Linked DNA regions of Danio rerio. The protein of the gene in region 1 binds, or shares a complex with, the protein of each later gene. Links are inferred from orthologs where the notes say so. Each region holds a gene or a part of one and is shown on either strand. Other genes may lie near its edges.

The links.
Region 2: the proteins of tacr1a (region 1) and tac1 are in contact, whole or in part, in a cryo-EM structure (PDB 7P02), measured with the Homo sapiens proteins. The link is inferred for Danio rerio from reciprocal best matches to the Homo sapiens genes TACR1 and TAC1. Residues at the interface, in NP_001049.1 of Homo sapiens: Gln24, Phe25, Asn85, Asn89, Tyr92, Ala93, Asn96, Trp98, His108, Asn109, Ile113, Gln165, Met174, Arg177, Val179, Cys180, Met181, Ile182, His197, Val200, Phe264, Phe267, Phe268, Tyr278, Leu279, Ile283, Gln284, Tyr287, Met291; in NP_003173.1 of Homo sapiens: Lys60, Pro61, Gln62, Gln63, Phe64, Phe65, Gly66, Leu67, Met68.

The regions. Positions count from the first base shown.
Region 1 is NC_133180.1:28,782,629-28,786,142, reverse strand, and holds part of tacr1a (tachykinin receptor 1a), read right to left. Parts: intron 1,855-3,514; exon of another isoform or gene 1,817-1,854; coding exon 1,622-1,816; intron 1,261-1,621; exon of another isoform or gene 1,125-1,260; intron 1-1,124. UniProt on the Homo sapiens protein: This is a receptor for the tachykinin neuropeptide substance P. It is probably associated with G proteins that activate a phosphatidylinositol-calcium second messenger system.
Region 2 is NC_133194.1:28,062,666-28,066,737, reverse strand, and holds the start of tac1 (protachykinin-1 precursor), read right to left. Parts: upstream 2,806-4,072; 5' UTR 2,628-2,805; coding exon 2,514-2,627; intron 1,618-2,513; coding exon 1,515-1,617; intron 1,403-1,514; coding exon 1,379-1,402; intron 365-1,378; coding exon 308-364; intron 1-307. UniProt on the Homo sapiens protein: Tachykinins are active peptides which excite neurons, evoke behavioral responses, are potent vasodilators and secretagogues, and contract (directly or indirectly) many smooth muscles.

The DNA.
Region 1 (3,514 bases):
CAGGTCTTTTTTAGTTTTTTACTTTGTTCAATTTTATTTTATTTTTTCTTTCACCCTTCTTTAAAATGTATTTTGCACATTGTAAGTTTCTGTACTCTATTGTTAACTGTTTTTGAAAGCAATAAAAAAAGTGTTAAATAGTTTATGAAAAAAATAAGGGTAAAATACTAACTATTCAAAATATTATAATATTATTCAAATTAAATATTCAAAGTATTCAAAATAAATAAAAAAGCACCTTTGCCAGAATTTATATTGTTTGCCTTTTAAAATGATCGCAAAAAATAAATGAAAAAGACAAAAAAAAAAAAAAAACTCCATAAAGATTCAAAAGGTTTGTATAATATTACAAAAGATTTCAAACTGAAATAAATTCTGTCATTTCATATACTTACTTTTCACAAAAATCTGTAAAAGCAAGTCAGCATATGGAATGAGTTAGAACAAGTGACAGTGAGCAATTGATTATTTGATTAATTAATAGATTAATAGACTTGATCAATGACTGCTTAAAATTTTTATTTGTAAAAATATAAAACTTTGTAAGTTTTTAACCATATTGTTGATCATATATATTTAGCCTTTGTGAACAAAAGAGGAAAACCCTTAACAAAAAAAAAACAACAACTTAAGACTGTTAGTGTACAGTCAAGTTTTAACTTCAAAATGAGCAAATTCTTCAGTGTAGGTACCTGATATTCAGATCACTCCATGGCATATCGTCTATGTGATTGCTTAGCAGAGTTATTTGTATAATCAGATTTCATGAGTTAAGCGGTTTTGTGACATCACAACCAGCACATCTGTACACCCTCCCCAACATCTGTCCTCTCTGCATTTAAAAGCAGTGTGACCCCAACCAAATCTTTTTTGTACAATAATCTTGGCTAATATCAGACTAGACTGTCTGACAGATTGATGCACCATTTTCAAAGCACCTAAGATAAAAATCAGCTTGCAAACACAGGCAAACTTTTAGAGAATATATACTTTAGATTTCTTTAGAAGCAACAGTCATTAGCGTTTGCTCTTGTAAAGTCATTGCATTCACCCTTAGGCAAGATTTCCAATTATGTTGGTTTTAATAGGCTTGCACTTTTTCCTATTCTCTTTTTCTCTCTCAGGATCACGACTTTCCTGTGTTTAATGTTTTCTTTGTAATGAAGAAGCTCCTCTCTGTCGTTATATAAGTAAACACTTACGGGGGGAGAAAACAAGCAGAGCTGATTTTTGATTACTCCAAATTAGAGAGTCATAAAGGTAATATTTCCAGCAATATCCGAAAATATGGGTGAAATTTGATCTGGAGAGGAAATTCTCTGTACCCTGCAGACATAAATCTGAAAAACAAATACTCAACCTAAATATTTTTCCAATATCTGCAAATGGTGGCATGGGTTATTATAAAAAAACAAACATATCATACAAAGTCAAAATGCTGGGTTCCACGCAATTACTTCATGTTGTCCTAACATAAATCAATTATTTTAAAAAAAATTAAGTGGATTTAACATAAAATAATGAAAAAAAACCTTGAAAATTGTGTTGTTTTAACTAATTTTGTATAATTAGTTTGAACAAGCAGCAGAAGTATTCTTTTGAGTGTAATAGAGATGTTTACATTGTTTTGAAGTCCAGGAGAGTGTACTCGGGCCAGTCGATGTAGCAGACCACCCTGCCGGGCAGCTGGTCAGTGTCGGAGTAGTAGTATTGGGGGAAGGCCAGCAGAAGAGCCAGGATCCAGATGACCCCGATCACCACCTTTGTCTGTGTCGCAGACATCCTCTGCTGCAGGGGGTGAATGATGGCCATATATCTGTTGGAGGACACACATTACATCTGTTGGATATTCAGGTATTTTGTGCTTCAACTTAAGCTTAAATGGTTTTGTCATCTATATGATTTTGACATTGACAGTTTTGTGGTGAACAAATCATCTATGTCATTAAGAAAAAGAATGCTCCTGTAATGCAAAATTAAAATCTTAAAAATGTTTAATTCCCAAATTTCATGATTTTGAGGTATAGGGCGTGGTTAAGATATTTAACGCCCCTCCAACTGTCAGTTTTGACAACAAACAGAAGTGATGAGGAGAATTCGCCTGTTAGGTAACTCTTCTAAAACCCTTTTCCCCATCTTTCTGAATGAAATGCCTACTGTACTACATCCAATCAGCTCGCAGTAGAAAAACAAGCCACTCCCACTGTTATGCCGAGATCAGACTGCACGAAGTAGACATGTCACAGATGTTTTCACACTCTATGACTATCTGGGGTAGCGTTTTGTGGCTGCTTTGTTTACACAGTAAAATGGATCGACAACAGGTTTCACACTACATGACTTTACAATAGGAATCATCAACAACTCAGTTCACAAACTACGGCTCACAGCCAAGCACACACAGGAAGTGACATGGAAACAACGTGAGGTCACGCAGTATATCTTTTGTCATAAACTACATACTGAGAAAGAAGCCTTTAATAGGGTGTAACGTACTTATTTTGCTCACCTGACTTTTGAAGGGAATTGGCAATTTCTCCTTAACTTTTTTCTTTTTCAACCTGGTTGTGGTATTGCTCAGATGATACGTCAAACAGACACGGGTGCTCCTGCCATATTTAAACTAGTTTTTACCCCATTTCTTGGGTTCAAATAGACTGAAATAAATATTTTTAACTTATTCCCAACCTCCCGTTGGCCTGCAGATACCCATACTAGTGGTTGCAGTGGATTGGCTGTAGGTCATCGCAATGTTATTTTCAAACAGAATACATTTCACACGGCATGATTTTGAATCAACGACAGCTCCAGATATTAGCATGCCAAATATCTCACGGGTGTCTGCGACTCATCAACGATTCTCTCAGATTGCGTACTCAAAAGTTCACTCTGTGTGATTGACACTCACGTAAACCAGCATTGATTTGCCTGTGATTTCAGGCATTTGACAACGATTTCTCAAAACCTGTCGGCCAGTCAAAATCAGGGCTGAAATCATGCAGTCTGAACTCAGCATTAGCTTATTTAATATTCAGTTTTTCTAAGTATTGCGTCACAATACAAAAAAAAAAAAAAAGTTGCAGCTTCTGGTTCATGTGGACTTTAAATAACACTCTATTAAAATAAACAAATATTAATAATTCTGAAAATGATGAATACATGTACTTTTGAAATGTGTTCATTTAATAGACTGTTTTCCGTTAACTGCCAGGAAAGTAATGTGTTTTGGCATGGTGTCAAGATGTAAGTGAGAATATAACAGAAGATGAATGGCAGAGCATCTGCCTTACGTCCCATACCCTGACAATTAATGTGAAGTAAACTTCTGCAATGCAATTGCATTATGAGAGTGTACATTATCCTGGAGTTATTACATAGTTCTGAGCGATGTATAATATTCAGAACTCTAAGCCATTGTTTATAATAATGTCCCCATTTTTATTTTTGGTGTTGAAACAGAATGTACCCAAATGTCATCAATTCTGCATTCTAAATCTCTTGCCTCTATCTTGCA
Region 2 (4,072 bases), on another chromosome or scaffold:
CTTTTTTTACATTTGTATTTAATATTTTTCTATAGCATATGAATTTGGGTGTACTAGTTTTTGGACCGTTATCGTGAATCATTTAGTTAGATAAGCTCCAGATTTGGCTTTAGTAATGACTAATCTAATGTATATTCACAAATATAAGAGTGTATAGCTTCCTATAAAAAATTTGAATGTAAAATTTAGATCTGTGAGGGGTGTACTCTATATATGCTGTAGAGCACTGTATGTTTATTGATGTTTTTATTAAACTACCCAAACAATTATATTCTGAAACAAAATAAAAAGGTTTAGCAGTTCTTACCTGGCTCTTCTTGGCTTCTTTTACCCATCAGCCCCACAAAAGAATTGATTTTATGCCCTAGAAGACAATTAGGGTAAAAAAACAAATTTTATATATATATATATATATATATATATATATATATATATATATATATATATATATATATATATATATACATACATATATATACATACATATATTGTATTCCAAATGTGTAGCGTTATTTTTTTCAAAATGTATCAAAAATTAGTTATTTTTTTTATAGATTACATCATTATAGATTATTTATGCTGTAGTTATGATTGGTTTATCTTATATTGACCAATAGAAAATTTTAAAATTCCAGAAATGTACGCTTACAGTTTGTGATGACGTTTAGTTTTGAGGATCAGCAATATATTGGTACTAACATGAAGGTAAACTAAATAATAATACAAAATTGGAAGTTTCCATGTTTTAATTTAACACTTTTTATGATGTAATTAATTAATAACACTTAATTAACTCATAAATCATATACAGTTTCTTAATTTATTTGAGTTTGGGAAATGTTTTGTAACATTAAACACAAAGACTGGAATATATTTCATAGTTTCTTATAACAATAATCCCATTCAGAACAATTTAGGCCACACTTATTCTTCAAGTAATCCAGTAATGTCAAGTAATTATTGTCAAAACACATGACCAAAAATCTACTCTGCATTACTGACTATAATTTCCATCATGTAAATTGTAATCAGGGACAGACTGCAATTTGTAAGTAATCTGCTCCGCTCAGTTCTGTGATATTGTTTAAGTCTAGAGTGCAGTTCAAGGATTTAATGTCTTTACATTTGTTTCTTCTTCTGCGAAATTGACCTTGAGGATGTGAGCTTCCATTAAGAGGAATCATGTATCTCTAACTCTTCCATTTTATCATTGAGCTTGTTTAAACGATCAAGGCTGAAAGTCTCCTTTCTTCTATCATGAATATGTCTTTGCATGATTGTATATGTAAATCTCTCTTGAAGTGTCTTTGCTTTTAGGCAAATGTGAGCATTTAACAAATAATAAATGCAGTGAAGTGTTTTTGCATAGATCACTTACTTTTCCGTGTGATCTGTGCATTTGCTGTGGGGGTGGAAGAATGAAAGAGATGTCAGTTATAGGTCAAAGCGCTGTTAAAATGTGACGCATTTTATTTAATATCTGAATATTTTACAGTTTGCATGTGTGGTCTTACCAGAGGACCGTTTCCCCATCAGACCGATGAACTGATGAGGTCGGGGTTTCCTCGTCATGCGTCTCAGTATCTCCCTGAAAGGATCCGACTGAATCCACTCATCCTGCGAAAGATGATTTGATTAGTGGAACGTTAGACCTCCAGCATGAAATAGCAGCAGTTTCTGACACAAATTGTACCCTTCAGTTCATCCCAATAGAGAGTTGACCAAATGATAGTATTTTTTATTACAGATTTTAAACACAGAAATCATTTACAGCGCAGGCTATTTGCAAAGATGCAGTTTATGGAGACAAAAAGCCTAAGATATAAGTGCTTGGCTGTCTTCCAACCCGCAATGTCAAATGAGAAACGTGTGTTCCATTCAAACAAGCCATAAGAGCATTGACTGATTCAGCACTGGACAGCGACCTGCATGCTTTGTGTTTGAATCCAGACTAACTGAAAACCCAATGAAAACTGATACAAACATCTCATACTTATTTTTCATTTAAAATTAACATTATGAATATAACATGTATTACATTACATTTTAATTAGGTATGTTACATTCATGGGGTATGTTAGAATTTATAATGTTTACAGATACTCTTTAGTTCTGAATTTGTGGCTATAAATCAATAATAACAAATAATTGTAGTTGTAAATGTAAAATGTCACAGTAAACAAAATATTTCACAGTAATTCAATAATAAATGGTAAACCATTTATTTAAAACAAAATATAAATTAAATTTGCTACATGTGAAATGTCACTAACTTTGTTGCAATTGTTATTATGACAATAACATTATTTAATCAACATAATAAAATAAAATACGATTTTTATATCGTTTTAATAGTTATTAATAAATATATAGACATGAATAGAACATTTTTGTATATTTTTTTATTAGCCTACTAATCTTTAAATCCACCCCTAAGCATGTTAAATAAATCCAGTAGGTTTTTTTTGATCTGCAAGACTTTTTTATACAACATTAGAGATTTCAAAACTCACCTGTATCTGATTGTTGCCTGTCCAGTAATCAAGGTCTTCTTTTGGACCCAATTCCTCTCCAAAAACTTGACACAAAACAACAAAAATGACTACAGTCGGTAAAATAAATTTCATGTTGCTCCCAGTAACTTTCCCTTTTTCCTTTAAAGCACTTTAAAGTATAAAACGCAAGCTAAACGTCGTTTTGTTCGAGTATGTTGAACGGTGTTCTTCTGTCAGCTGTACGTGAACAGTTTCCTCCACATATAACACAGTTCTTCAATGCGCGCGTACGATGCGCGTCTCCGTGACCGTTCTGGCTCGCGCGCTCGACTTTATAGCAAAGCAACAGGGAGGTGACAGGTTCCTTGCGACGCTTCAAATCAATAAAACAAATAAATGTTTTAGTCAGATTGCTTTAAAAAGGCACAATGACTAATAGCTTTCCTCTTTAATATTTCGTTCGCGTCGGGTAGAGGAAGTAACTAAAGTTTAGATGGTCCCTGTTTGGGAAGTCCGTGCCTTTATGTCGTGAGCTGATCAGTATGTAAACTGCACACAGGTGACGTTATGACTGGCGAACGACGAAGGTTTTACGAAGTTCCGTCTACAGCTGAGTAAATATGAATGCAGATGACCTGTTTAAGACTTCTTTTACGTCAGAGGAGGTGAGCAACTCACAAAGGGTTTAGGAATGGGATTGTAGAGGGCTTAAACAAGGATGATGTTTTGGGTTCTTATTTTGGTAAAAAGTCAGTCGTAACAATAATAACGCACATAAAATATGTTTTAGCACTTTCAAAAATTGTTTATACCGTAAATCAAAACATTTTGTTACAGTAACCTCTTTAAGCAATTCTTTGAAATTATTTTACCCATGTCAAATAACAACAAAAATTAATTAACAATTCATTTCATTTCAATTAATTCAATCTGGGGTCACCACAGCGCAACGAACCGCTAACTTATTCAGCATATGTTTTACTCAGCGGATGCCCTTCCAGCTGTAATCCATCTATGGGAAACGCACTCTCAATTACACACATACACTACGGACTATTTTAATTTTAATAAATATAATTTAGCATACCTAATTCACTATACCACGTGTCTTTGGACTGTGGGGGAAACCGGAGCACCCTGAGAGAACCCACTCGAATACGGGGAGAACATGCCAACTCCACACAGAGATGCCAACTGACCCAGGACCCCTCTTGCTGTGAGGCGATCGTGGTACCCAATGCGCCACCGTGACGCCAAATACAAAAATAGAACTAGTGTTTACCTAATTTGAAAGGTTGATTAAATCAATTTAACTGAATATGTTTGACTTCCTAACTCTATTCAAGAACAGTCCATGTTTAATCTGCATACTTAACAAAACAACAAAAAACTAGTATTTGTGTTATTGTAAAATGTTGTCAAATTAAATGAATAACTTTGACTTGCATTAACCTTTCCCATTCAGATTAAAAAGGTGAAGTTTTTATACTTCAATAGTTTGTTAATAGGCATGCATATTCATAAACAAACTTCTCTTTAAAAAGCTTGTGAGATTAACTATTCAATCAATTAATCAA